Linked DNA regions of Lepisosteus oculatus. The main gene of each other region encodes a partner of the protein of the gene in region 4 in a complex. Links are inferred from orthologs where the notes say so. Each region holds a gene or a part of one and is shown on either strand. Other genes may lie near its edges. The genes, in order: rbl1, cdkn1bb, cdc6 and ccna2.

The links.
Region 1: the proteins of ccna2 (region 4) and rbl1 are in contact, whole or in part, in a crystal structure (PDB 1H28), measured with the Homo sapiens proteins. The link is inferred for Lepisosteus oculatus from reciprocal best matches to the Homo sapiens genes CCNA2 and RBL1. Residues at the interface, in NP_001228.2 of Homo sapiens: Met210, Ile213, Leu214, Asp216, Trp217, Glu220, Glu224, Arg250, Gly251, Lys252, Leu253, Gln254, Tyr280, Ile281, Thr282, Asp283, Thr285, Tyr286; in NP_002886.2 of Homo sapiens: Gly654, Ser655, Ala656, Lys657, Arg658, Arg659, Leu660, Phe661, Gly662, Glu663.
Region 2: the proteins of ccna2 (region 4) and cdkn1bb are in contact, whole or in part, in a crystal structure (PDB 1JSU), measured with the Homo sapiens proteins. The link is inferred for Lepisosteus oculatus from reciprocal best matches to the Homo sapiens genes CCNA2 and CDKN1B. Residues at the interface, in NP_001228.2 of Homo sapiens: Met210, Ile213, Leu214, Asp216, Trp217, Glu220, Val221, Glu224, Met246, Arg250, Gly251, Lys252, Leu253, Gln254, Leu255, Tyr280, Ile281, Thr282, Asp283, Thr285, Tyr286, Thr287, Gln290, Arg293, Met294, His296, Leu297, Lys300; in NP_004055.1 of Homo sapiens: Lys25, Pro26, Ser27, Ala28, Cys29, Arg30, Asn31, Leu32, Phe33, Gly34, Val36, His38, Leu41, Thr42, Asp44, Leu45, Glu46, His48, Cys49, Asp51.
Region 3: the proteins of ccna2 (region 4) and cdc6 are in contact, whole or in part, in a crystal structure (PDB 2CCH), measured with the Homo sapiens proteins. The link is inferred for Lepisosteus oculatus from reciprocal best matches to the Homo sapiens genes CCNA2 and CDC6. Residues at the interface, in NP_001228.2 of Homo sapiens: Met210, Ile213, Leu214, Trp217, Glu220, Val221, Glu224, Tyr225, Arg250, Leu253, Gln254, Glu277, Tyr280, Ile281, Thr282, Asp283, Thr285; in NP_001245.1 of Homo sapiens: His89, Thr90, Leu91, Lys92, Gly93, Arg94, Arg95, Leu96, Val97, Phe98, Asp99, Asn100.

What each region holds. Positions count from the first base shown.
Region 1 is NC_090711.1:748,601-756,115, forward strand, and holds the start of rbl1 (retinoblastoma-like protein 1), read left to right. Parts: upstream 1-4,503; 5' UTR 4,504-4,970; coding exon 4,971-5,135; intron 5,136-6,762; coding exon 6,763-6,896; intron 6,897-7,165; coding exon 7,166-7,366; intron 7,367-7,515. UniProt on the Homo sapiens protein: Key regulator of entry into cell division. Directly involved in heterochromatin formation by maintaining overall chromatin structure and, in particular, that of constitutive heterochromatin by stabilizing histone methylation.
Region 2 is NC_090702.1:5,914,512-5,921,680, forward strand, and holds the start of cdkn1bb (cyclin dependent kinase inhibitor 1Bb), read left to right. Parts: upstream 1-4,154; 5' UTR 4,155-4,456; coding exon 4,457-4,925; intron 4,926-5,492; coding exon 5,493-5,611; 3' UTR 5,612-5,621; intron 5,622-7,165; 3' UTR 7,166-7,169. UniProt on the Homo sapiens protein: Important regulator of cell cycle progression. Inhibits the kinase activity of CDK2 bound to cyclin A, but has little inhibitory activity on CDK2 bound to SPDYA. Involved in G1 arrest. Potent inhibitor of cyclin E- and cyclin A-CDK2 complexes.
Region 3 is NC_090723.1:9,685,910-9,693,046, reverse strand, and holds the start of cdc6 (cell division control protein 6 homolog), read right to left. Parts: upstream 3,006-7,137; 5' UTR 2,917-3,005; intron 1,486-2,916; coding exon 1,335-1,485; intron 614-1,334; coding exon 266-613; intron 184-265; coding exon 1-183. UniProt on the Homo sapiens protein: Involved in the initiation of DNA replication. Also participates in checkpoint controls that ensure DNA replication is completed before mitosis is initiated.
Region 4 is NC_090696.1:10,719,420-10,727,209, reverse strand, and holds the start of ccna2 (cyclin-A2), read right to left. Parts: upstream 3,007-7,790; 5' UTR 2,620-3,006; coding exon 2,410-2,619; intron 1,672-2,409; coding exon 1,425-1,671; intron 1,110-1,424; coding exon 997-1,109; intron 778-996; coding exon 554-777; intron 465-553; coding exon 260-464; intron 73-259; coding exon 1-72. Other genes in the region: bbs7 (Bardet-Biedl syndrome 7 protein), read right to left, coding at 7,206-7,339. UniProt on the Homo sapiens protein: Cyclin which controls both the G1/S and the G2/M transition phases of the cell cycle. Functions through the formation of specific serine/threonine protein kinase holoenzyme complexes with the cyclin-dependent protein kinases CDK1 or CDK2.

The DNA.
Region 1 (7,515 bases), on a different chromosome or scaffold from region 4:
TTGAATTGTTCTGTAATTAAGAGCTCTGTGACCCTCAAAGACAGAATTACAGTTGTCACAGCAGCGGTGCTGCACTGCTGCAGGAGTGAGGGAGATGATGAGCGTCAGTGCTGCGCTGCTGCAGGAGTGAGGGAGTAGATGAGCGTCAGTGCTGCGCTGCTGCAGGAGTGAGGGAGATGATGAGCGTCAGTGCTGCGCTGCTGCAGGAGTGAGGGAGATGATGAGCGTCAGTGCTGCGCTGCTGCAGGAGTGAAGGAGATGATGAGCGTCAGTGCTGCGCTGCTGCAGGAGTGAGGGAGATGATGAGCGTCAGTGCTGCGCTGCTGCAGGAGTGAGGGAGATGATGAGCGTCAGTGCTGCGCTGCTGCAGGAGTGAGGGAGATGATGAGCGTCAGTGCTGCGCTGCTGCAGGAGTGAGGGAGATGATGAGCGTCAGTGCTGCGCTGCTGCAGGAGTGAGGGAGATGATGAGCGTCAGTGCTGCGCTGCTGCAGGAGTGAGGGAGATGATGAGCGTCAGTGCTGCGCTGCTGCAGGAGTGAGGGAGATGATGAGCGTCAGTGCTGCGCTGCTGCAGGAGTGAGGGAGATGATGAGCGTCAGTGCTGCGCTGCTGCAGGAGTGAGGGAGTGGACGAGCTGAGTAAAGATTGAAGGAACAGGTGGGAAGTTTCCCCTTGTGTCCAGTGCAGTGGAGGAGTTTCTACTGAACACGAAAGGACTAATGCACCAGCAGAGTGTTTAGCTTATTGTAAAGTTTTAGGGTGTCCTTTCTCCTGTTTTACATATGAAGGTAGATTTGATAAATCTATTACTTTTAAATGATGTAAAATCTATATTTTATTTTTACAAGGTGCCCTTGTAATTTTGTTTAATTCATTATACTGTGTTTGACACAATCAGGACCAGTTGTCTCCATGCTTGTAGTACTGTCCTTTCCACTTCATAGTTTTACCTCTCAGTAACTTCACACCTCGTTGATATACTAGTGTTTGGCATCTCTCTTTATTTTATACTGAGAGGCGTTTAGAAAGGCGATGAATGTTACTGGATTTGGTATTCATTTGTTGCGTTTTTAAAGCTTCTGAGTCCGTTTGCAGCTAAGCCACTTTGACAGAACAGTTGATTTTCCTGTGTTATGTTACATGTTACATGTTTTTGCACAGAGAAGCAGGGCGTGGCAGGCTCACTGGCATCTGGAGGTTTTCTTTGTGGTTTTCCTAGTGTGGAAGCTCACCTGGAAACTGTGCCTCTTCCTCATCCACAGCAGGTTCGCACTGTCATCAGTCTCACTTTTCACAACTAGCATTGATGTTGCCTTGAAACAGCTGGTGGCTTTTTCCTATTTTCTTATTTATTTTGTTTTTTGTTTTTGCTTTTGCCAAACGTTACCAAATATAATGAGAAACCATTATCATTATCGTCCTTTGTTATTATTTAGTTATATTGGAAGTACAAAATGCCTTATTTAGAGTTATGCCTATGGATGTTTCTGTGCATTTCCATATTTGAAAATGTATATAAAAGTACTTAGTGTAGAACTTCATTTTATCAAAACTGAAACCTGGTCTAAGAATCTCACTGGCCTGAGTTCCTTGAAATTTCCCTTTAGTTGTATGCATACTTTTTTTGCTTTCTTGGTAACCTTTTTGCTTCTGGATTTAAAAAGCAAAACGCACAGTACATAATAATAATAATAATAATAATAATAATAATGCAAAGACAGGTGTTCCAATCTGATGCTCTTAATATTTTCTCAAGTGATCTCATAAGCACAAAAATCTGAGGAATTTCACAGATCTCTGCTGCAAGTTCACATGAATGTTCTTTTGTTGGTGAAAAGTGATTTTAAGCGATCCCTTTTTTGTGCTTCCCAAAACTGTTAGACTGCCTGAGCATGGTGTTACTAATTCTGAGTAACTTGGCACGTTTGCGTGTCTTCACCACCGTCATGATACTTTTCAAAACCCCGTTGAGCTTGGCAACAGAAGGTGTGTGCATACAACTAAACTGGGTGGCGCAGTTTTAGTTTCCTGCCCCTCTGACACAAGTCTGGCTGGAGCGTTTGGACTCTCCTCAGAAAAAAAGAAACAGTTCCCTCAGCTATCACGTCGGCGTCGCAACACGAAGACAGTGGGACAAGCCCAGCAGCAGCTGACCATCATCACCCGCTCACAGACAGGACCTGTTCCCTGCGTTTGCTGGGAGAAAGACTTGAATCTCTTCATTGGAGCAGTAATTAAGGGCAGCCGAGGTCACAGAAACTGTTAGTATTTATTCAGTTTACATTCTGTCGTTTGTCGCTATTTACCATGTTTGTATTTTTTTTTCTGTTACAGTCTTGCTAATTTATCCAAAGGTCAGATTGTTTTTGGAGTCGTGTGTATTTCAGATGTATTTATTGTACACTTCTTTCTTACCAGTATCATTTTTATACCTGTATTCTAACTTATAAGGGGTTCAGAAGGAAAACCTGCAGGATCCAAATCTCTTTTCGACACTGACGCTGTTAGTTTTCCTTAAAAAAAAAAATCTTATTTTTGCCTCCAGTGGAAGCAGGGATAGTTTGCAGCAGATTAAAAATGAAACTTTATTGTACTGAATAATGAATTACTAGGCAAAGAATATCCAGGCTGTCTGAGTGTCTCACTGTCTGTGACTGTCAATCATAGCGTCTGTGTCTGTGTACTGTATTAAAGCACCTCCAGTTAGACTTATTTCCTATGTGAGTCGTTTTCCATTAATAAATAAATGTGAATAACAAGCTATTTGAAAGTGGAGTTATAATAAAAAACATATTTATATTCTTGACCTGCAAGTTCTTATTTTTATCCAGAATTTTTTTTATTTCTCATTTTTGTTTAGGTCAGGTTTTTGTCATTTGTAATTAGTTATGCACTGGTATCCCAGCACCTGTACTGTACTAGTTAGAGCACAATACTAAATAGTACATAGTATAATTAGTAATGTAATCCTACAACACTAAAATCACTTATTTACTCCAACAGAAAGGAAAGAGGTTTCCTTCTGACACAAAGCCCTATCGTTTATCAATCATCACAGATTTATGACTCTCATCTTCGGCTGATGGTATACTTTAGTAACTAATAATGTGCGATCTGTTGTTCTAAAACAGGGCTCTTCAAGGTTAATTGTCAGGAAACATTTTGGTATTTTACCGAATTTGTCCTTGTAAATGTCCCATTGGGTGGCACTGTGACACTGTGGTTAGCATTGCTGTCTCTCACCTCTGGGGCCCTGGGTTCAATTCCAGACCTGGGGGTGCTGTCTGTGTGGAGTTTGTATGTTCGGCCTGTGTTCATGTGGGTTTCCTCCCACAGTCCTAAAAAAATACCGGTAGGTTAATTGGCTTCTGGGAAAACTGGCCCTGGGTGCAAGTGTGTGCTTGTCTGTGTTTGTGTCTGTCGTGAGATGGATTGGCACCCCATCCAGGGTGCATCCTACCGGAGGCCCGTTGCTTGCTGGGATAGGCTCCTGCTCCCCCGTACCACTGAACTAGAAGAAGTGGTTAAAAAATGGATGATTATAAAACCCTGACATCACTGGCCATGCCTAGAGCATAAAGTTAAAACGAGCTGGTGTGTCTTCTTGCAAGCACACATTTTGTGTCAACAAGCAAAACTGTCAGCTTAATTCAGACAGTGTGCCTCACAGAGCCCTGTTTAGTACGGTGTTTAGTTCTGGGAGTTTATTGCATGAACAGACAGTGTGATGCTCAGATGGGGCTAAAGGTTTTTTGGACCACAGCCACCTGCACTGGAATTGTAGTTTTCTTTTAATGCAGTGATGGCCAGTGGTTAGCCACCCGGGTGTAATTTTTTTTTCTCCCTGAACCCAAGACTATTCCGGATTGTATGCTACAGAAGCAGAGTGTGTTCTGTGTAGATCTGAAATCTGCCTCTGCAGCTTTTACGGCGTTAGTTTTTATTTTGTTGAACTAGCTCCTGTATTCCCATGTGGACCAATCACATAACTCAAAACATGGTATGTGATCTTTTATTGTGCAATAAAAGATGACTTTCAACTTTCACTTTAAGTGTGCCTTCTGCTTTTGTGTTAGGGGAACATAACCTGTAAGAACAGAGCAGAGTTGAACAGAACAGCTAGAATGGAATATGAATTTACAGTCTTTTATTGTTATTGACTTTGCTAGCATAAGCAGATTAAAGAAAATGACTGCAAGCTGAACCAAATTACGTGAATGTGAAGTTCAAGAGTTTTCTTTCAGTGATTTCTAATTGGACAGCAAGCATTGAAATATACCTGATAAGGACACAAGAAATCTTAATGAGGGGAGACTATCTAGTGCATTCACCTCGTTTGACTGGCAGTTTGATGTCATTGGGTGTCATTTAGCTCTATTCTTTGAGGAGCTAGGGTGTTACATTCAACAGCATGGGTCTTAGTATTTGTCACTGTCAATACCACAGTTCTCACCATAAGATACTCTCATTTACAATTGAGTCTTTATTATCCCCGGGGGAAGGGGCAAGTTGTTTTACAGCAGCAGTGTTGGTGTACTGACGTACAGAAGAAAAAACCGACAGGAACAACAAAATACATATTTGCATGGAAGTCAAGTGTTAAATAATGATATGGTTACGGGTATGAATGATTTAAATCGTTCAAAAATAATCTTTTAAAACATTGGAATAACCTAATTACCAAATTCAGAGTTGACCGACTTCTCTATACCTTTATCCAAACTGTTAATCTAACGGAGGACCGATACAGCACCACATTAGAGACAAAGACAGAAACTTCGGTAGACTACAGTGTGTATCCTGGGGCCGCCATGTTTGAGCGGCGGCGGTGGAGGACGGGGTGGATTTTCGCGCCACTGGGGCCGCGCGGCATTGTGGGATAGCGGTCCTGGAGCCGGAGGGACGGAGCGGGGGGCTGCGCTGAGGTAAACAGGCTGCGCTTTCGGCGAATAGACCCGGCGGCGGAGAAATGCCCGAAGTCGGCACGGAGGCCGGGTCCGAGCCCCGGAAAGTGGACGAGGGCCACGTCCGGCGGACCCTGGAGGCGCTGTGCCAGGAGCTGAACATGGACGAGCAGACGGGCAAGGAAGCCCTCCAGAGTTTCACGGCCATCTGGGACACATACACCCTGGAGGTGAGGCAGACCCAGGATGCGCCGCCGCTGCGACGTCTTTACGGGTTTTATTTTTTTAATTCCAAACGCAGTAAGCGCCCGGGAAGCTCTCTTCGGCAGTGTCCGTGTGTGTGTGTGTTTGTCTGTCTTATTGTCGTTTTGTGTTTTGGTGTCTCTCTCGCCCCCCTCCCCCCGGAGGTCGTTGTTAGCGCGCAGCCGGCGGAATGAACTTCGGCAGCTGAGCTGCACCGCCAGGGTCGCGCAGTCTGTAAACAACACACCCCCGTCTGTCCCCCCGAAACGGGTCTGTTTCCCCGCACCCCCCTGTCTTCCGCCTCTCCTGTGCGCAGCGGAGGAGCAGGACTGTGCCCGCCCGGCGACTCTGTGTTTGTTTACGTGGGGGTCCCGGCTGACATCGCTGGCCCAGCCCGGTCTGTTGTGTGCCGGCAGCGTCAGGGGGAACATGTCGGAGTTCCGATGTGATTTCCGAACCGAGGACAGGGGCTGGTCGGGGCTTTAAAGGGAAGCGAGGGGCGTGTGTGGGAGACACGGGGCTGCCGGGGCGCCATTGGCCGGCGCGGCGCAGGGGGGGGACGGCGTGTGTTGTTGTGTGTTGTGTGTTGCTCTTGCTTGTGTTCGTAGTGGCAGGCTGTGCGCATTTTCAGTTCGAGGTCTCGAAGCGCGAAGTATTTATTATCTCAGAGGCGCAGGTAAAGGTGATTTCCAGGCTGAAAAGGAAAGCAGCGTTTTCTCTGCGGAGCCTCCTTCATGGGGCACCTCTTTTTCAGCAGGGAATAAACCTTTACCTGTTCCTTTGCAGCCTAGGAGAAGATAGGAGATCACCTCATTAGCCATACACAATTTCTTCATAAGAAATACATTTTAGCCTGGAATAAATTTGTCTTTTCGCATACACCAAGTTGCTCTCCATGAGACACACGGACAGGGAGAGAAGCTTGGGGTCAGAGCGCAGGGTCAGCCATTGTACAGCGCCCTGGTGCAGCTGGGGTTAAGGACCTTGCTCAGGGGCCCAACGGAGTAGGATTCCTCTGCCGGCCACGGGATTTCAACCGGCAGCTCTCCAGCCACAGGCGCAGATCCTGAGCCACAGAGCCACTGCTCCGCCTGCGCATGCTGATGCAGCCAGCTACTCGTATTTCTTCTTGGTAACAGTGATGCTTGTTGGGGAGTCGGTAGGTGTTCAGCATCTTTTTAAACTCGGAGCAGTCTCCCTCCCCCCAAAGAAAAATCTGACCAGGCTGGAATAGACATTCTTGAAACGCAAGCTGACGATGGCTGTACCCTCCCATCTGTGATATGAAGCCCACACCCATTCACGCATGGAAGGAAAGACAAATCCAGGAGCTCTGTGACGGGGGAGAGGGGGGTTTCCTGTTTATCCTGTGTGTAGCTGCTCTGGAGGTTCTGGTCTGTGATGCTCGTCCTAAGGATTGTTGTTATTAGGTTATACCATGTATTTATTGTTTTGTTTATTGTCTGTACATTCTGTCACTATGTTTTGTAATGTATTGTGTACATTGTGTGGTATCTGCTGTGCTGCGAATGTCCTGAGAGAATAGTGTGGATAAGAATCCTATTGTATTTATGGGAAATAAGATAATATAATAATATTCTGCTCATCCTGCAGGGTGAAGTGGCACACTGGCTCGCCTGCTCTCTCTACGCCGCCTGCAGGAAGGGCTGGACCCCCACAGTGGGCAAGGGGGTCATGGAGGGCAACTGTGTCTCCCTGACCAGGATCCTGAGGTCCTCCAAGCTCAGGTGAGCCCCCACTCTCCCCAGGTCACCGGATTAACCTTAACCGTTACCCTTTTCCGCCCATCTGAACGCCAGCACTGCTGCTGTAAAACAAATTGCCCCCTCGGGGATAATAAAGACTCCCTCTCAGAAAAGACCAACTAAGAATGTTTGTTTTTTTATTCATGTGGTCTAGAAAAGCTGTTCTAACATGTGTCTCTGCAGTTGAATTCCCCGACATAACCTGCTCTGTTTTCTGTCTCCCCGTTTCTTGTCTCTCGCCCGGACCCCAGCTTAATACAGTTCTTCAGTAAGATGAAGAAGTGGGCGGACATGTCCAGTTTGTCCCGGGAGTTCCGGGAGAGGATAGCACGCCTGGAGAGAAACTTCGAGGTCTCGACCGTGATCTTCAAGAAGTTCGAGCCAATATTTGTGGACATGTTTCAGGATCCTCAGGGGGAGCCGCCTCGGCCGGCCCGAAGCAGGAAGCACAGGTACGACCCCCTCTCTGTCCCCGCGCGGCCTTGGAGCCGCCATCCCTGCAGCAGCTGGAGCGTGGGGTAGTGTTGCTGTTTACTTCAGAATGGCCAGTTCCTCTCTTCTAATACTCCACCAAGGTGGGACTGATGTTGTTAATGAAGTC
Region 2 (7,169 bases), on a different chromosome or scaffold from region 4:
CTTTATTGCATTTATGCTTTGCACACTGAACAGTCACGTTGAGGCACGATGGTACATTTGAAAAATGTTTAATATTCTGATTTACCCTAAACTTTCAGTTATATATATATAACGATCAATGTTTTCATTTCTTTGGTACTGTCTATAGAATCCACTCCCAGGCACAATAAGGCACACTTTAAATTCTTTCCCCTTAAGAAAACATGTCGGAGCAGACAAATTTATAGCTTATTTTCTTGGGGGGTAATTTCCATACCGTTTTGTTTAATTTGCGATATGAAATGCACTCATCGTTTACAACTGTGTACTTTGGTAAAAGCTGACCAAATGTTATTCTATATTTACAATACAGTGAGACTTTTATTATGATAAACAAACATAATTATATATTGTAGATGCAGGCAACACAGTGGTACAGTGGTTAGCACTGCTGCCTCGCAGTGCTGGGACCCTGGGTTTAATTCCTGGGGTGCTGTCTGTGTGGAGTTTGCATGTTCTCCCCATGTTCACTTGGGTTTCTTTCCAAAGTCCAAAGACATGCTGGTAGGTTAACTGGCTTCAGGGGAAAATGGTGCGAGTGTGTGTCTGTCTGTGCCTTATAATGAACCTTTGTCCCATCCAAAATATAACCCTGTACTGGATGAAGCAAACGGATGGCTGGGTTTTACAAGACCTTTATTCTAATTTCTAAAATAATCTATTGTGCAGAAAACAAACAAACAAAAAACATTAAAAGGTCAAACTGCATCCAAGGAGTAAATAATACAGAACAAGACATGTTATGACAGCCTATGGTCAAGAGATTATAATGCCGAAGCTAGAAATGCAACTCTTAACACAGCCTATTGAACTGTAGCCTACAACAAATAATGTGCCCGTAAAAGACATGTTGTTGAGAAAAAAGCAAATCGATATTTGCCTGCATTTCCTTGCTCCTAAAAGATCAATTCAGCATGATCAGCATTCTTTCCCCCCAGGGCATTACCTCATCTCACATGTTCTTCTGCACGTCAACTTTATGACCTTGTAAACTCTTTGAGTAAACAACACGCACAATGCCTACTGTGTGCCATCATTATGGAGGAATATGCCAATATAAAAAAGTATTTACTGTAGCAAAGTTTAATCTGACAGTGATAAGACAGTGCCAAGTATGACGAGGGCTTTGTGCAAGAGTTGAGCACATACATAGCATAGCAAAGCTAACTCTGCCTATTGTAACAAAATCACATCAGTGCCGGATCTCCCATTAGGCACTGTAGGCACAGGGCCTACGAAACATTTTTAGGGCCTACGAAAGAGGGAAACACTAGTGACTAACGAAAAACGAGCTGAAACAACACGCTTGTGCTCGACTCGAGGTGCTCCAAATCAATAGTCATACTCTATCTAGCGGCTGTTCTCTCGACTCGCTCCATCAATCACGTGGTTTAGCATCAGAATAGTTTAAAGTACTGTCATGTCAGTCGGCGTCCTTCAATTGGCATTTATCCATCTTTTTGGAGTGAAAGTGCCTAGGGCCTACAAACACCAAACTCCAGCCCTGAAATCACATCGAAAATTAGTTCTGGTTTCTAATTTTATGGTGATGTACTGTGAACCAGTTGAAGTATAGTATGTATATTCTGTATATTCTGCAAAGGCAAATCCCACTTTGCTCTAAATTTATTGTTTTGCTTTTTGTGCCACTTACTTTACTTTGTACCACTTATTTCATTAAGTTAGATTCTAATTCTCTGTTGTACCCTTATGTAATATTCCCACTGAGAATTACTGCTGTTCAGTAGCGTAAAATGTTATTGATGCAGCACTGTAGCTACAGTATATTAATGCTCATTATTGGCACCACTAATCTGTAACTAAAACAACTGTCCTAAAGCTAACCTTATCCCTAGCTCTCAAACTAACAATGCATTTGCACACGACTGAATCATTGTTCCATTTCCTGTGCCAGCGACATTGACCTTTTGAACTGAACGATACTGAAGGCCAGATTCTTGTTAAATGGTAAAGTGTACAAATATATTTTTCATATAACTGGATGTGCAGCAGGTCCTGCAGTTTTAAAGTAAGAACAGAAACATTTATTTAGGTGTAAAATATGTCCACAATATTGTAAATTCTGGTAAAACTGGAATACCACCTATTAACAAGAGCTGGTGCTACAATCTCAATATATTTAAATCCACCTACACAAAGTTTTATCAAGTGATGTGCCTACACACTGTTTATACTTCTAACAGATAGAAAAATTTGGTTACTTTACATCACAGTCTCACACCACATTCTTAACAGCTCCAAAACAGATTTAACATTTTAACTGTTTCATTATTTGGTGTGTTAAAAGCTTTAAATTAATCCCATAATCAGTTTTTTTTTTCTGTATTCTGGAATATACCCTTGAAAAGACATCACAACTGCAACATGACATAAAACATGTTCTAAATGTAAATTTATAAACACGTGCCAAAGGGTCTCTTCATTTTATTTGAACCTGTACTCCTAAGGTCAATTACTTACTGACACAGCTTTAAATTGCTACCATCATCCACTCTTTAAACGTGACAGACCTCAAGTCAACAGTGCCAGTAGTATCACTGCAATAAAAAATATGTAAGTGACATCATAAACTTTTAACAGCAGTATTTAATTATCATGGTACATAATCTAAATAAGCATGAAACAGAAATAAGAAGAGAAACCAAATCACTCTAACATTCAACACGCAGAACAGATTCGAAATTGGAAACATTTGTTCCTAATTCTAGACCTTTGACTTTCCTGAAGTCTTTGCAAAGTTTTTCCCCCCTTTCCAAAATAATTTTTTACTAAATGTATTTATTTTTTTAGTTATGGGAGAAAGTGTTAGAACACGGTAGTTTTAAAGAGTGATAGTAGACCATTCTCTGAATATAGTACATTTATTATCCAAGGGATCTTTTAACGGGAAGCGTGAACCAAATGCTTTATGAGCGCCAAGTTCTTAATGAAGCTCATTATTTACTCATATGGTAAAACGGAACAACGCGTTGTTTGCTGCCGTGATACACTCAGTAACAGGTTTAGACTAAAAAGTCAATTTTATTACACAAAACAGCACAATTAATCATGTTCAATTATTGCATTGCCCGAGATTTTTACTTGCCACGGGAAACGTGACTCCGCCAAATCGTTTATTGAGCAAGGTTTTCGTCAATTAGTAGTGGACTAATAAAGGAAAAGTAAAAATGATCATTTCCACCGCATCCTACTGTACATTGGCACGGCACCATAAACATTGCATTACTACAGTTCAGCCGTACCCCTTTAAATCGACCCTAAAATGTGGCAGTCAAGCTAACAGCCTACTAATAACTGCCCCGTCTACCCAACCCATAGTATGATGGCGCTCAACCCTCTCTATACCTTTTTCTTTTTCGTTTCGTGGTTACTATTCCTTCGCCTGTATCACTCTCTCTGCTCGGGGAGTGACTTGCTTATACGTAAACAAAACACTTTAGATCATAGCAAGGTTGCTGCAGACACGCAGCCCCCAGTTTTCAAAAGCAACAAAACGCATTAAGGTGGACTAGGGGAGTTATCCCAAACCACCCGTTTCCAATCGCCTTTCGGGCGCCTTGTTTTGCTACAAAATGCAACGTGGTGCACGCCTGCGGAATTTATTCACGTTTAACACCTATAAGCCTTTGCTAATGCCAAGTCATGAGAAAAAAAAAACGGCTTGAGATTAGGGTCATTTATTCTTTCACGTCTCCAGAGTACTGTAGGTCAGTGGGAGATATTGCCCTTTTTTTTTTCTTCTGTATTAACGTTGTTGGTATCTGGAAGCGACTTTGCTTCCTCCGGCTACAATTCCTACTTCCGCCAAAACAAAACAAGCCTACCAAAGCTGGGCCGATCAGAAATCTGCGGATTTAAAGATCGCCGCGGAGGAATTTTTCCAAACGAACAAGAGATTCCGATGCATTTGGGCTTTTTTTTTTTAATGATACGAAGCTGCAGAGACCGTAGAAACGAAAAACAGCGGTGCTCACCTTAAGAAACGTGGGCGTCTCGCTTTGCTTTAACCAATGAATCTCCTTCTCTGTTTAAGTCGATCTCGGTGTCAATCATTTTTTTTCTCAGTCAGCCTCCCTTCAATCGCCATATTGGGTACTGAAAAGGCTTGTCTGTTTTTTTTTTCCCCCCCGTCTTACTACAAGACTAAATTGACAGGAGTGGCTTTTGCAACTGCACTTTGTTTTGATGGTCTGCGGAGATTACTTTTGCTCGCGTTACAGTTTTCGCACGTCTTTTTCAGATCACGGCATGCCTGCGCTGGCGTTGTTGCTTGCAATAATATTTGGCGTTCGTGTCGGATCGATTTGAAGGAGGCGAACAGAATTATATATATATATTTTCATTTACTCTTGTTGTTTTTTTTTTCCCCCTGGCGTGGAGAGAGAGGACAAAAAAAATGTCAAATGTCCGTCTTTCAAATGGTAGCCCGACGTTGGAGAGGATGGATGCGAGACCGTCGGATCACCCCAAGCCGTCGGCTTGCAGAAACCTCTTCGGGCTGGTGGATCACGAAGAGTTAAGGAGAGATTTAAAGGGACACTTGCAGGAGATGGAAGAGGCGTCCAAGGCGACATACAATTTCGATTTCGCGAATCACAAGCCCCTTTCGCCTGGGAGATACGTGTGGGAAATTGTGGAGGATACGGAGGTACCGCGATTCTACACGAAGCCGTCACGGGCGTCGAAGGGCATCTGTCCGTCTGGGAATATCAGTTTGGATCTTAATGGGAATCACAGCTGTGGGGGGACTGCGTGTCACGAAGGCACTGGGGACAGGCTTTCCGGGGACAGTGCGGAGAAACCGGCAAGTCAAACGGATTGCAGGGACCAGCGCACTACGCCGAGGAAAAGATCAGCAAGCCATGGTAGAGATCAGCTTCACGTTTACGAGAAAACAAAACAACAATAACAACAACAGCAAAAAAAAAGATATCGGGTGTATTTATTTTGGGTCGCCGATCTCACGGTTTCGGGAAAAAAAAGTCCAGATTTTAATTTTTTGTTTTTAAAGTGAAAGGCGTTGCGCGCATTCGAGGAGGTTTTCTTTTGTTTTCGTCTTGTATCTTATTTGATGTCGCGCTAATCGGAGCCGCGTCGGAGTGTTTCCGAGAGGCGAGTGGAGTTGCGTGCGTTTCGGGGGCGACCCGAGCGCAGGCACGTATCGCATGTCCGGCTGTTTTTCGTATTTTGTTTTTCATTTTTGGAGGTTTAAATGCACACGTAGTTGTGACACCGTCACATCCCCCCCCCACCTCCCACCCTTGCTGTTTTTGAAAGGCTTTTTTACTACGGCATGCAAATCCTGCGGTGGCGTGCGGGCGTCCAATTTTGAGACGGCGGACCAAAATACCGCCTGCCCGCCTCTCAAATGGTTCTGTTAAAAAAATAAATAAGAAATGCTAATCGGTGAATTTTGTCTTTCCTTTTTGTAGCGGACTCATCGCAAAATAAAAGGGCCAATACTACCGTGGATGAAGTTGCCCTGAGCCCTAATGTAACGAGGTCAGAGGAACAAACGCCCAGTAAATCCAACCCCAGGCAACAGAAGTGAAGATTTTAAGGTACCTTCTCGTCATTTTAATGTCTTGTAAAAAACTATAAACGTTTTCGCAGACGTAACTCACTACCGCGCCGCTTTAAAAAAAAGCTTTATGTTTCCCTGAACTGTCATTTTCTGGAAAATCTAGTCGCGTTGTCTCTAAATTGGTCAGGACGTTATGGTTGATTTCATTAGTGCATTAGTGTATGTTTCTCGTCGGCCGTCGCTAAACAACAGTGCTGTAGTACAGTTTGTAGTTAAAATAAATACATTTGAAATATGCCTTTAAAACTGTTACGGGGCTGTTTTTTTTCCCCCAAAAAAAAACGTTTTTCGTAGTTTTCGGGGAATGGTTAATACACAGCAGGTGCAGTCGAATTAAATTCATCTCTGGGTTTTTAGTGCTAGGCGAGTCTCATCCTGAAGAAGAACAGGCCAAAAACCTAATGCAGGCATAGAAAACTTAGGGCGTTAAATTTAATATTGTCTTGGATTTTGTTGGTGGAGAAACAGTGGTGTTGTCCAGGGGGGCTTCGTGTGTTCTCGCTGTGGGAGGGAGCGGGTTAAAATTTGCTGCGCCGCTTTTATATCATCCATTCAGAAAGGATGGCCGGGGGTGGGTTGTGGGGGGGACGGGACGGACGCTGGAGACATTTCAGCTCACGATCACTTGAAACACAGACGCAAACGTGTAAAAAAGGGGTTAAAAGCAAACAGATCTGACGTGTTAACTCAAGAGCGCTGTTGCCCTCCGAGAGTGAGCTCCCCTCGTATCTGTAAACAAGCGCCTGCACTGAACAACAGTAGTAACACGTCAGCAAGAGAGGCTTTGACTGGTGAAGGGGTTGGCCCAGTTTTCTTGCTTCTGTACCTGTTCCAATCTGAGAACGGCAGCGAGCACTTTCGCTCACAGACCGCTCCGTGCGTGCTTGCAAAGTAAGGTTCGCCAGTAAGGTACTACGAAAGTATTCACATTGCATCTGGGTGCGTACTTGTGAACCTTCAGAGGTTATAAATCATTGTGCGAACTGGTTAGCCAAGAAAGTAGAGATGTCAAATAAACATAATAGTGCTTTTGGGGAGATGCAACTGTTATTTATTTTTTTTTGTTCCAGGCACTTATTTTTAAGTGATTTTTAAAGGCTGTGATAAACAGATTTTTTTCTTTTTATTGTTGGGAGGCAAAACAGTGTCCACAGCTAATTGCTTTGCAACAAGTTTTATGTGAAATGTAATTGGATTGGATTGCAAATCTGTTTTATAAAAAGTGCCCCAGTTGGAAGATTTGATTTTTTTTTAAGTTTTGGGGGATAGAACCCTAAGGTAGGGATTTGATTTAATTTAGTAGCCTCCTTTTGTGTGCAATTTTTATTAAAGGAAACTGTAATACAAACTTGTTCTTAAGTGATACACAGATCAGTATTTTGGATCCTTCTTTGATTTCATTCAAAGTGGCTTAAAACTCCAGAGCACTGTGTCAGAGGATTGCTTACAAAGATTGAAAGCCTATTTTTCAGTTTGGTGCTAACGTGTCGTGATGCTGAATATCATGTTTTCTCTTTTCAGAGCT
Region 3 (7,137 bases), on a different chromosome or scaffold from region 4:
TGCGGGTCAGGCAGGCCGTCTTGCCTGTGCCCGGAGCTCCGGAGATGTACAGGCTGCCCGGGCGCCGACCTTTGACCCTCTCGCACAGGAAGGAGCGGATTACGGCACTCTCTCGGTCCCGGGACAGCAGCCTCTCCGGCAGGGAGGTGTGCAGAGCCTGCTTCACCTGCTGGAAGCGGGAATCTGCAGGAGGGGGGCAGACAGTGAGCCCGGGCAGCACCCCCGAGAGGCGGCGAGAGGAAAGGGGGGGGCGGAGGAAACTCACTGTCGTTGGCGAAGAGCCGCACCACGGGGGGGCGCCTCTCTCCCTGGGCTCCGGCGGGAGAGCTGCCCGGCGTCTCCTGCCTGCAGCGGAACGGGGAGCGCGCTGGGGACCCCTTGGCTGTCGGGGTGGTGCAGGCCCGCTGGGGGGTCCCGAGTTTCGGGGAGCTCGGCACCTCAGCGGGGCAGCTGGGAGCAGCCGGCTTGACCGGAGAGGGCGCGTCCCGGCACGGCACGTTCTCGTCGAAGCTCAGCCTGCGCGACCCGCGCGCGGGGGAGGGGTCCCTCAGCCGGCTCTGCTTCGGGGGGGATCCCAGGACCCCCGGGGGCAGGTTGCACCCATTTTCAGCTCCTGCACAGGGAAGACCCCCCAAAGAAAGCATCAGCACCCGCCCAAACCCTTCGGCTTCCCACTAGTGGGCCACCCAGCAGCAAAGCAACACCTGCCGTCGGAAAATAAGTTTGAAAATACCCGTCGCTCAGCTTCAATCTGACGATTCAGCTACAAACAAGAAGCACTTTCAACAGACTATCAATCCATCCATTTGCTCTTCCAATCCAGGGCAGCCAGAGCCTGTCCCAGAAAGCAACAGGCACAAGGCCCACCCTGGCAGGGGAGCCAGTCTGCTGGAGGACAGACACGCACACAGACACCCCAGGGCACATTCTCCCAGGAGCCAGTTAACCCCCCAGCATGTCTCTGGACTCTAGGAGAAGGAAACCTGAGCAAACTTGGGGAGAACATACAAACTCCACACAGACAGCAGCCCAGGACCACAACTGAACTCGGGGTGCTTACTCCAGCGCTGTAAGGCAACAGTGCTGACCACTGCAACACCATGCCCCTAAAGAATCAGAATTCATGCAAGATATATATGGGGGCTACAGTTCTCAAGGTGTTGCAAGTAAATCATGCTCCATTTTAACAAGAACTAACAGCGACACCACCGGCTGCTAAACCCAGCCTTTGAGCGATTCTGACTAACCCTGCAGCTGGGCAGTGCAGAGCAGAGCAGAGACCTGGCGCCCCACGCAGGCGACAGCGGGAGACGCGGCGATCGAGGGGACCTTACCCAGGCGTTTCCTCGGGCTGAGTGGCAGCACAGCCCCGCTGGGCGGGGGCTCGGCTCGGGCGACAGGCTGGGGCTTGGCCGCAGCTGCCCTGGAGGACTTCCTGCGGGGGTACTGGAGCGTGGGCTGGCTGCGAGACCTGGTGGTGGGCATCTGCAACACAGAGACAGCGGGTCTGAGATGAAGCAGCCTTCAGCGCGGGATTGAGTCTTCAGAGCAGAACCAGGACAGGAAGTGACAAGCTAGCACCTTTACAGCAAGCTTTCATTAGATCACTGATGCCTTACTTGAGCTAAGAAGGTGCTTCAATTGAATATTTACATTTTGTTTCCAATCACAAGATTGGGTTTTTACAAAATACAACAGTTAAATCACCAGCATGTTTAAGAGCTGGGGGAAAAAACCAAGGGCAAAATAATCTTATTAGTAGTACGTCAGTGAAGGGGCTCGGCTGGATCAGAACCAGCAGGTGTGGGGGTTCACCGGGCCCAGGAACCTCTGCTCAACACTGACGTCATTCATGCTCGACGCCAGGTCACGGCGTAACAGTGGCGCGTCTTACTCCTACAACAATAGGTTCCCGCGTCTGAAATATCTTTAAGAAACTTAATCTTTATTGTTCCCTTTTTCTCACTGAAGGTCCTGAATCTCGTGGGAAACGTACGTTCACAGGCGAAGAAACTGGTTTCACAGTTCAATTTCACTCGCCCGAGTGACACGACTCTCGCCAGAGTCTCTCCAGGGCCCGTTAGCCCTTGTCCGGCCCCTGCATCGCCGTAAACAGACTACAGTATCGACGACACACAGGCTCTAACCTCGTTAGAAATCGCGTCTGAAGACTTTAGACCCCAACAAACCCAGAGTTACCGGAGGATCTGCGCGGCTGCTGTCGAATGTGCTAGATCATCAATACCCAATCCAAACAGCAGCTTATCACGCAAACTGGACCGCGGGTATTGCAGTGTGGAGCTTTACAGCCTTGAAACTGCACCACTGAAGGCCATTCCGACTGCAAACGGGGAAATTCCAAGCTTTGTAAATGATTTCAGGGAGCGATCCTTGTGCAGACGGGCGCGGGAGTCGCACAGGCCGGCCTGCGGTCGTGGCGCCAAGTCCTGGAGACTCCCGGCGCCCACGTGTGTTTACAGGAGAAAACCCGTGTGACCCGAACAAATACTGAGCAGAAAACCGTAATAACTCCAGAGAAGGTCAGGTCAGTCAACCTTCCTTTTCTCTGTCAACCCTGTCTTCTGTAAGAATAGCGAAGACTGGCTCCCGCGGTTACTGGCGCCCACGGCCAGCAGCACTCACAAACATTCTCGCTTGCAGTTTTTAATCACTACACAGCGCCCCGTTTCTAACAAGTTTCCAAGCGAACGGTTAGGACTTAGGTTAGGTTACGACAGGATCAGTGTCTGTATTGGCACTGTGATGCTGTATGAAACTGTAATCATTTGTAATCGCTGCTATTTAAGAGTTGGCGCCATACAAAATGACCATTTACCCTTGAATTAGGCAAGACCCGAAGAAAAGACAAAAGACGAAGAGATCATACATATACGTAGAACTATAATTTCCACTTACCTTAAAATATCGGTCAATTTAATCTCCTAGGAACCCTTTTAAAGGACTGTCTTGTGTCCTGTTGCAAACTCTGAGATACAGGAACGATTAGCGCCAAAAGCTTCCAAAGCCTCCTAACTCCTCCCGCTTTGGACTCGGGAACGCCTCCTCTCAGCCCTCATTGGGCAGCCTCAGGCTTTGTCCGCACTTTCCAAGTTCTCATTGGTGAGAATCCAGTAAACTACCGCCCCCTGCACCACGCCCTCCTTCCCCTGTGAACCAACGAGAGTCTCCCCAGAGACCCACGGGAAAACACGCCGAGCAGCCCGTCTCCTCGCCTGATTGGATAGTGAGGCAGTTACGTCCTGCGATTGAAGGAGCGCCGCAGGCTTGATTGGTCGACTGCATCGGCGACCCGCCTACAAAACCCAGGCTGTTTACACAACGCCCTGCCATTGGCTACCGCTTGTTATGATGCGCTGTTGGATGTACAGGCAGTGGCGGGAGATTTGTCAAAGGGGTCATTTTCGCGGCATGACTTAAAATAAGTTAAAAATAAGAGGATAGGCGCGTTTGCCGGTCTGCATGCTTATTACTGTCAGTTATATTTTTAAATACAGTATCTGCAACATAAACTTCATTTTGACTGGGCAATGAAGGAAGTCGCATTAATGAAGGGATGCAAAGGAACAAGTAACAGGTTTATTCCATACTGAAAAGAGAAAGAAAACAACGTTTCAGCCGTGGAGCCTTCTTCAGGTGTGAGCCTGACACCTGAGGCTCAGCCTCACAGCTGAAGAAGGCTCTACGGCCGAAACGTGTTTTCTCTCTTCTCTTTTCAGCCTGGAATAAACCTGTTACTTCTTCCTTGGCAGCCTACGCATGCTGACGCATGATTACAATCCTGCGGTGCACGCCGGCTGCGTTTAAAAGGCTCTCAACAAACCCGTCTCCCGAAATTTGCTTCAATGAGCCCTTAAAACAACCTAACCTTTAACCTAGGTGCGTGATATTAACTGTCACGCACTCGTTTCTTACCTTCAGCAATAATCGCTACTTATTCACAACGTGTAGCAAAACGAATATTGCAATTTAGATGAAGCATGTGGCTCTCCCCGTCTCTGAAGCGATGATCAGATACAAGACAGACACTGTCCGATACTCCTGCAGTATTTTTTTTGTCGTTCGGCAGCGTTTCATCTCGCACAACTCTCCCAATCCACTTCTAGACTTGTCCTGCAAGGAGCTGGAAACACTGCTTTCACAAAATATCATCCCATTAACTCCGAGCATAACATGGTGAAGCTTAAAGAAAAAGAAACGAAAATCCGATATCACTCTATGCTCTTCCGTTTCCAATAGTAAGACCCAGCTCAGGTCAGAGCTGCAGAAACCTCGAGTGAAGGGCTTGCACGCCCCAGCTGGACTCCTGCAGCCGGACCCTGCCAACGCGGACACGAACGCGTGACTCACACACTCGTTTTTATCTTCATTTTATTTGAACTGGTACAACGTGGCTGACAAGACAGGTACAATGAAATGGCCCTGAAAGAAAGGACAGACACAGAAGCTCGTTTGAACACGGGCAGGAGCCCCCCTCACTGCGAGCGAAGCAGCCCCAGTAACAGCTGCGGTGTGAGTGAGGCGGACAGCGATAGACAGAAACGGATACAGACACTGGCTAATAATCGGTCCCTGGCTTTGTACAAGCCCACCTTTTTATTCCTATATTACAAGCTTTTTACAACATAAAAAATAGATCAATAGCTATGATTACCATATTTCCCCATAGTCGTAGTGTAAATATACATTATTATCGTCATTTATTTTTGATAAATCTTGTACCAACAAACAATAGTAGTGTATAAGGCAAGACACCAACTAAGATTAATCTTTTAAAAATAAGAGCAGGAGAGAAGTCTAGGCGTCCTCTGTGTGCAGAGAGAGGGGGAGGCCAGCAGAGGGAAAGGGACACTCCCAGTCCCCACACCAAGGGAAAAGAGAATGGAAAAACACTGTTAACATGAGCAGAGCAGGATCACTGGCACAGTCTTCCAATGCATCAGGTTAGTGTCCGAAACAAGACCCCACTGACACCAGCCACCCCAATTCCCCCCCCCATTGCATAGCATCCAGTCCGGGAAGACGGGGACCCCCAAGAGTTCATGCATCGCCGCCCCTGGGCGCCGCGAGCTCGGAGAGTTCAGGTCACGTGGGAGGGCGATCGGCGGGTTTCTTGAGAAGATGACCAGTTTACCTGGGGCAGCAGGCGTGGAAGCAGAACTAGCAGCCAACAGCCAGGAATGAGTGACCCCCCACCCCCCACCCCCAACACACACAATCCTGCAGAGGTGAGGCGAGTTGGGGTACCTCAAGCACACCCCATTTCCATGCATTACGCTCCAGCTGTCCCAGAGTACATGCATTCACCTGCTCCAGTGCCCTCTCAGGATGGACAACTTGTGTCTCCTTTGCAACTAAAGTACCTAAACAAATCAGCACTGATCTGTGCAACTGAGAGGCTGCACATTAAAGGTGGCTGTGCAAACATCCACCCTACCATGTCTGCACAGCTATAGGACACTGACAGGAGCAAGAACCTACAGCACAGAATGGCCTACTGTATGATGTATGATGAACACTGGCATGCTGACAGTCCGGACACAGGGAAGCTGATAAACCAACCCTTTTGAAAGGCTACAGTCACCTATAAGGTACACTAACACTGCAATAATGATTCAGTAATGATGCACTTGCTGCAAGACCAGCCTTAAGGTCTATGACTTCTGCTGAAGGCTGGTGCCTGCACAACTCCCAGGAGTGACCGACTGCAGAACCAGCCTCAATCTGCAAACTGTTAAGAGAATTTAGTCCATTAGTGATGTCCTTAGATATCAAGGAGAGCTTCACAATTTGCCTTTAGACCTGAGCGGTAAACCGTTTCAAAAACATCTCGGAATGAATGCATATGCCTGAACTCTGACAGAGGTCAAACCACACCAAGCAGCGGGCAGTACCCCAGACCCCCAGTACCTGCCTCTGCCCTTCCAACCCCCCGACACACCAGAGCCACCCCTCGCCTCCGCAGGCAGCCTGCAGAGCCGGACCCCCAGCTCCGCCCTGGCCCCGCACCCCCCGCCAAGCGAAACGCAGAAGTGGCCAAGCTTGACAAAGGCAAAAGCACTTTTCCTGAAGCTTGTCTCATCCAACACCGCTACTGATTCACACAGCCGCCCATCATGAAAAGAGTCCAATCTTCCACACTCTCCACCGAGGCCGATCCATCCCTTAGGCGAACTGTGTCCGGCGCTTCTGGGAGAAGGGAAGGAAAAACGGAGCAGACTGCGGGGTTGGCCCGGAGTGTTCTGTTCGGTCCAGCTGGGCTCTCTCACTGCCTCAGCAGGGGGGGGAGACAGAGAGAGAGTGGCCGATGGGTCAGGTTTCTGCACGGGGAGCCTTTCAGAATAAGACTGGAAAGCAGACATGCCACCTGGCTGGCCGTTCGCCAAGCAGCAGCGCAGATCTGGGCGCAGGATGCAGAAGCACTGAGCGCGCGTTGGCACTGGGTGGGGCAGGAGTCTCTCCGCCCTTCCTGAGTGCGGCCGGGCTGTGGAAGCTCAGGGGCGCAGCAGGGTCCAGCTGGGACTGGTCCAGTCGGGTCAGGTCCAGCACAGCACCGCACACGGGCCACAGGCCCCCCTGCTCTCTGGAGGAGCTCCAGGGGGACCTCTCCTTCCGTCCGCAGGACGCTGAAGAACCACGAGACGCTCCCAGCTCAAGGATCGCGGATCCTGCTGTCGTGAAATAACATCTCCAGCAGCGAGAGTGTTCCTTGCAGAGTCCTGCCAGTCTGGCAGGTGATGCCTGCTGGTCTCAACAGAACAGGGTCAAAAACCAGTCGGGATCCCACTGGCGATCATGGGCTGTGGCGAGGAGGGGTGTGCAAAGACAGTGGCCATAGATATAAAAAAAAAAAAATTAAAAAATGAAACCCAACACCTCAAGTAAAGTTACTACAGCTGGCTATTTTTTAAGTGTCCAGAGGTCGAGAGATCGACGGAAGAAGGAAGGTCACGTGCCCCCACCCTCGTACCCTGCAAGCACTGAGGGCTTCTGGCGGGCTCCACGGCGCCCTCTGCAGGAGCTTCCAAGTGCTGCAGCACAACTGGGCTAAAAGTGCAGACCTTGGCTTCTAGCATGACAATGTGGCAAAATAAAATCCCTTGGCCTTCCTCTGTGTTT
Region 4 (7,790 bases):
GGCGGCAGCTGTAACCGACGGGAGATATTTCAGGAACGGGTCCGAATCAACTAAACTCAACTCCCCCAGGAACTGCAAAAAATTAACAAGGTATGAAGACATGAATGCATTCTGTACATCTCTGCACTTCTATAGAAGTGCAAAACAAATAAAGAGGAAGACCTACAAAAGGTCTGTGATGTATGTTCTGGAAACTAAAAACCTGTAAGTGAAATACCAGGGATTTCAATAAAAATAAACATCGTTGGCATCAACTCACCATTGACAAGCTCTCAACTTTCTGGTTCACTGGCTGATGAAGGAAGTACTGGGTGAGAAACTGGTTGATTGTAGGAGCAGCAAGATCAAAAGACAGCACTTTCAAAATAAGATGCTCCATCCTCAACACTTGCTTCTTAGTGTAAGTGTCATCCGTGATGTAGACGAACTCCGTGACTTCTGGGGGGTAGATCTCTTCGAATTTCCTGAACACAATGGGGAACCAAGTCAGGTCTCATACAAGGGGAAGAGGATCAACTGAAAAGGGGGTTTCAGGTGGTAGAGTGAGACTTACGAAGCCAACAGCATAGCTGCCGTCCCGACCAGCTGCAGTTTCCCCCGCAGGACCGACATCGCGGACAGGAAGCGGTCAATATAGTTCGCAGCCAAATAGAGCGTCTCGTTCTGCAGCTTGTACTCCTCTCCCACCTCCACCAGCCAGTCCACAAGGATGGCTCGCATGCTGTTCGTAATGTCTGGCTGTTTCTTCATGTAGCCAGCTTTGGGCCTGGACTTTATCTGAGGAAGAGAACAATTAAAATGAAGAGTTAAAACATTTGGGTTTTGGAATCCCCCTGTACATAGCCATCTTAGAGGTTTTGGATCAGCTGGAGGTCATACTCCCCTCAGTGGAAAGGGATTCTACCTTCATTTGGAAGTTGAAGCCCCACAACAAGCATTCAAATCAAACTAATATAAGTGTCAAGTTTGCCTGTGGAAAAAAAAATCCATTCTTACCTCCATTTCCCTTAAGTATTTGTGGATCTCTACAGCATAGTCTGGCACTTCATTTGCATCCCTTGGTTTTTCCTCAGCATCACATACTGACATGTCCATAGCCACTGGCGAATCTGGAAAAAATAGCAAGTACAGCCCAGAATTAGTACAATGGGGTTATGCCATTATGATTTAAAATGGATACCAACTTCTAAATTAGTTAGAATTATGAGAAGTTGCTTTCTTTCTTTACAGTGGTAGGGTATACTGCACTTGTTACAAAAGCCTAGGCTTGGTTACATAAGGGTTAAAGAGTAAAAAGCACTGTTAGCTAAGTGAGGTAAGTTTTCTTTTGGTTTAAAACTATAAATCTTCCCATTGATTGCAAGTCAGTCTCCAAGGAGCTACCTCCTTAAAGCTAAGCCATTCTTGTTTCAGGAAACACCTACCAAAACTGGCATCCAGAGGGCACTCAATAACGGAAAGGGGCTGTCTGTTCCCCGCGATGGGGTTAATTGTAAACAGAGGCTTCTCCATGAGGACTTTAGCTTTGGAGGCCACTTGCTTCTTGGTACAAGCACCATCAGGCTCATCCACGTGAATTGTGAAACCGGGCTGCTTTGCACCCATCTTCTCTGAAGGATCCCGGCCATGGTTCTCAGAATTTGTGCAGGACAGCACTTGACACGAATGGCCCTGAGAACAAAAAACAATAACATCTTGCGTCAGTAAGTATTAGTGGACGTTTACATACATTTCCATATTGGCCAGGTAGAGCTTCTATAATCATCTAAAATGGCGGGTCACTGAATTACAGTCCAAGTTCCTATAACGTTGGCAATTCCAGGTTAATGCAAAAAAAAAATCCAGATTAATGCAGAAACGTAAACCACGGCCTTTTAAGTTAAACTTGAGAAATGGCTTGCATGCATTTTTTGAAAACGGACGCGCGATTAGTTTCTCGTGGAAAAGGGAAACCAGAATCTTCGGAAACGTCAGCGAAAACTTGACTAGTACACTTCAAAACAAGTGATCCCACAATTTTATCCCGTCTCTGCAATGTGTAGAGCTCGTTACAGCAGTAACCTGCCGTCTTGAAAATGGCGGACTGTTCACTGGGAAACACCAAATGGCCATTTAAACAGTTGTTTGCCTCTGTGGCGCTAAGGTAATAAATTATGATTAATCTAGATCCTTGACTACATCAAGTGTTTTGACCACTGTGCGTTTTAAAAACGGAACGGCTTTCTATAATCTCAGAAGTTAACCACACTAAAGGAGAAATTGCAGACGAGCACCAACACCGATAGACTGCAAACCGCAATGAAACACCGAAAACCTCAGATTAAGTTTATCTAATGTATATTATCACCACCGATTAGATTTAAATCGCATAATTTAATCGTTTATTAATTTAAAAGAGCTTCGACCAACCTGTTTTGTTCCTTGTTGTAGCTGGGGTCTTGCGCTTCTCTGGTTGTTCTGCAAAGCTCCCAAAACACTTCTGCTTGTAGCTTTTGGGTTTATATTTTCTTGATCTTCAAGCCGGTGTTTTGCAGCAGCCCTTTGTTTAAGAAGCATGTTTTCCCGGTCTTGATTTTTCTGCAAGTCACTCGCAGCGTGATCGCGACTGATACCAAACATTGTTGCTCAGCTAGTACGCTAAAATAAAGTTCTAAAATTTAAAATAAAACAACCGCCGTAGTTCCGGGTTAACAATTGTGACGTTATGAACTAGCAAGCAACCAGAAAAAACATAAATTGTAACATCAGGGTTAGAGTCTTCTACTACGAAGAGGTCCTCCAATACCCCTCCCAAAGTCTAGAATTAAAAAAAAACAAACTTAAAAAAACAACCGATCACCGCCTCCCCAGACGTATCACTTTCAGCTGTCCATGCTGGGTCTCTTGTATTTTCGAGCTGCAGTTTTTTAGCGATCCGAATAACCAGAGATTAACTTGCAACTCCTCACCAACCCCAGTTCCTGCAGTTACTGGACTGCTGCTTTCTCTGTTCAAGTAGCCCGCGACTATTGAAATCACCCAATCCGAGCGGGCCTCACCTTTTACGTCACCAAACCTACGGTGGCGCAGACATCCAAAATTCCTGTCTGGGGCTCAGTCTCACAAGAACCGGGACAAAAGCCTTCAAATATGATTGAGTCAGCGACCGGTATTATACTTTGATTACAACAACTATAAATCTACTGTCATAACAGATCGTTTCAAGTGTTTGGGTAATCTGAACAAACAATATATTTTTTTTCACTTGAGGTTATGTTAAATATTTGGATTGACGATGTGATTAATTCACATTTTGCCGAAGTAATCTTTTTTTGACTGATTGATTCACTTAGCACATTTTAGGCCATTACGGTACAGCCCCAGGTTTTAGCTAGAATGTTATAGACATCAATTGTATATATTCATACAACACACAGTAGTAAAAAAATGCTACTTCATTAAATGCACGTTATTTTCCTTTTCAAATATTAAAAAATAGGATGAATTTCCTGTTAGTTTTATATAATTAGTAGTTTCCTACGATGCATAAGTATTATAATGTACCGAAATAAACATTTTTTTAATGATATTGAAATATAAACTTCATTAGGAACTGGCCACGTTGTCTACAACGTGCAGCATTAGTCCAAGGTTTTTGAAAGTCCAGTTTACCATTCATTTTGAATGTGGATATGTGCAAACTGAGAATGTCCAATATTGTACTATTCAAAAGGACAAAAAGGCTATATTTTATTTTGTGTTTATGTATCTCTGTTATATGTAAATGAAATGTAATTGTATCATAACTCCAAAAATAAAAAAAGAAAGGTTGGAAAATGAAGGATTCACTTAGGGTTTGGCATCAGTTATTTTCCATGAAGTGTGTATAGTTACTTTGTACAGGAGAATTTTTTTAAAAGCGTGGAAATGAGAAGAGGCCATTAGCCAATCTAGCCTGTTTGGTACTTAATTGATCCAAGAACATCAGAAGAAAACAACTTCAACAACATTGCTGGGTAGCTTGTTCCACACACCCACCACCCCCTGGGTATAGAAGTGTCCCCTGTTCTCAGTTTTAAATACAATTCCACATAGTTTCCTGGTGTGTCCTCTGGTTCATGCTGAAGATGTTGGCCTGTCAATGTCTTTGGGGATTTTAAATCTTTATGTGAGGTCCCCCCATGGTCTTCTTTGTTCAAGGTCCTTCAGCCTGTCAGTGTATGTCATTCCTTTACGTCCCTGAATGTATCAAGTTCCTCTTTTCTGGCCTGATTACATATTTTCTACAACAAACACAAGTATTATAAATACCGTTCAGAGCAGTGAGGCTCAAAGATCTCTCCAGCACAATAGTTTCTCATTTCACTGACAGTTCTTTTTACAGGGGCCTCGGGACTCCTACTACAGAAAAACACGAGAAGCCAAGATTCTCCTCAAACCTCGTCTTTTTAGAATTTCTCCATTCATTTACAGATTTCAGGTTTTCACACCTCTCCCCCAGACCTCCCTTCGTTTGCACTCTTTCTCACCTTCCCAGTCCTTTGTCCTCCTGTGCTTTATACACCCGAACAAGGATCAACAGCCGAAACGATGTCTTCTTTCTGCTTCTTAGTGTGGAGTTAAATCTTTACTTACTCCTAGTTGCTATGTAAAGTAACACAAAATCAATGTGCTGCAATTTACCTCAATTGCAAGTTTGAACAGTAATGGATCATTTTTAAAAGTCACTTTCCACAAAACTAAACATAAACTGTAGTAATAACAGCAATAATTGGTATACACTGTTCCACTTTAAATCCTAAACTGTTTTAATTTCAGAATTTTCCATGATACAAATTCAAATTTTAAATATAAGATGGATTAGTTGAAATGTTAAATACAGCCAGGGCACATTTTCTGATTACTGCAAACCAGAACTGTGAAACGATTTGGCTCTGTAACCTCTTAATTATTGCCTTAATTTGTCTGCAATGTAGACTTGTTGATTGGAGTCACCAAGATGGATTAGCAAATTAAGATGCTATTGTTCCAGTTAACTGATCACATTAATTCCAAGATCAGCCACAAAAGTACAAAAAAGCTACTCAACTTAGCACATAAGTACCTTAACTTCTGATGTTAACCTGGGGTGTTTAGTTAGATCTGAAGAAGTGATTTTATCCCCTTAAGGATGTTTTAGGGGATGTAAGACTTATTATTATTTAGGATTTCAGAGTAATCTGATATGAATTTGTGGTTACAAATAATACGGATGCTTTTTTGCCACCTCAAAATTAGGTTCTTACATTTTAGGTTTTATTAATTGAACCCTTGTGTATTGATACACATGGACAACATGGCTGTACAGTGGTTAGCATTGCTACCTCACAGCGCTGGGTCCCTGGGGGCAATTCCTGGGGTGTTTTTTTGTTTGGAGTTTAAATGTGTTTGCAGGGGTTTCCTCCCATAGTTCAAAGACATACTAATAGGTTAATTAGCTTCTAAAGAAACTAGTCTAGGTGCGAGCGCGTGTGTGTCTCTGTGTGTCTTGCAATGCTGTCCAGGGTGTTTTCTGCCTTGAGCCTGCTGCTTGCCAGGGTAGGCTCTGGAACCCTCGCAAGGTTGTATCGGATAAAGTGGTTCGAAAATGGAGGAATTAATACACCTTTGGAAATGTGGAATACTACATGGAGTTTTTAATAAATGTATTAAAACGTTCCTTGGAAAGCAATTTTTAACATCCTAACAACAGGAACAGAAGAAGAACCTTTGAAAAAAACAGGTGTTTGTATGATTTATTTTGATATACTAATTGCTGGCAGCCAGGGTTAGTATGTGAATACAAACAATATCCTTGGGCTTAAAAAAAACATTAAATGTTATGTCTAGTTTACCATAGTATACAGTATGTTTACATATAAACATAGTAGTTTACACATAAGGAACAAGTAATAGGTTTATTCCATGCTGAAAAAAAGAAGAAAGAGAACACAACGTTTCGGCCGTGGAGCCTTCTTCAGGAGCCTTCTTCAAGTTTACATATATACTACTAGTAGTTAATTTAAAGCTATGCATTAAATCAACACATTCACAAAGATCCTATGCTACAGATACAGTACAGATAATATTTTTCTTGCAAAAAAAACAAACACATCACTCACGCACATAATGTATCTTTAATGGTGTTAATGGAAGTTGTACCTAATGAACATCAAATAGCCAATTTTAATGCTACTTCTTCTTAACATAGTATTCCTGAAAAAGTCTGTATGATCCCTATGGAGTAATTATTTGACACTGGTTCTTCACTATCACAGATTGCCTACATTTAAAATATCCTTGCATTTACATCACCAAACCATTAAAGTACCTGCAAATCACTTTTGTGCTGCAATCAAGATTGAATTATTCCTCCTGTAAAGCCTGGGAGGCAGACAATTCAATGCAGGAAAGCACTTTCATTAATTTCCCTGGGTTGCTCTGCACCAGGTGTTAATTCAGCAGATCCAATATTAAAATGCCCCCCTGATCACCAAGAGCATCCCACCTGATTATAACCTACATTTCATCTTGAAAAATCACTTAAATCTTCAGCATATCACAACATTTCTGTGTATTCACAAGACTATTGAGTGACAGACATATAGTTTGCAGCTCTTCATTGAAAGGTACTTAATTTATCCTGAGCAGGACTGTTCATTTAATAGAATAACTCAAACTGACAATTAAACATTTATAATTAAGTTTATTTAAGATTATTTCACAAATGTTATATGCCCCAATGAGAGTAAGGTAACTGTATACATAAATTAATCTGGAATTATTTAACATAGAAAAATATTAACATTAACATATATTTAGAAAATCAAATTCTTATATTCACTATACAGCTCAAGTATTTGGAATAGATGTGAATGATAAGTCAGAAGAAATATTTGTATGAACTGTTCATTGCAACACCAACTCCGTACTTGCTAAGAACACCACTCCATATAATTTCTATGCATATTACTACATTTCAACTATTGTACATATCATTTATAAATACATCAATTTTACAGAGTTAAAATGTATGAAAGTATCAGGGAAAATTATGATATTTTGAAAACTGAAACAATAACTTCCCTTGTATTTCCAAATAACATTTCTTAAAAATACAACACAAAATTTAAAAAATGTTACTGTAGCTTCTTAGGAAAAACATACCACACTGGATGAAACTTCAATGATTTGTTTACATCTCAGTATTATGCTGAATCAAAAAATTCCACTAAAGAATTCAGTTCATAGTTGTCCAAGATTTCAAGCAGCAATGGTACTTTAGTCTTGACATTCTGTCCTTTAAATTTGAATTTGTCAATGAAGAGATCCGTAATCATACCTGCAAAAAAAACCCATTAACATTTAAATGTAATACTGTATACGGAACTGTAGAAAAAGTTAGATTTTCTTTATTCCTGCAGTGACACTAGTATGTTTTTTAATACATTTTTAAAATTAAACATATTATAACATGTCAGTCAAGATTATAACATGAAAACAACTGCTGAAATTAAAAAGCATGGTAGAGAACATAACATAACATCCAATAACTACCCTAAAGAATTATTTCCACGATAAGTAGAAAATACATTTTCCTTTTGGATAATTAGATACTTGTCTTTTCTGTTGCATTTTAAGCATTGAGATAAGAGATAAGATCACTTTACTAGCCATATACAATCTCTTGTATTAGGAATTTGTCTTTCTGCATACCCCAGCTTGCTCTCCATGAGACACACAGGCACAGACGGGGAGAGAGAAGCTTGGGGTCAGAGCGCAGGGTCAGCCAT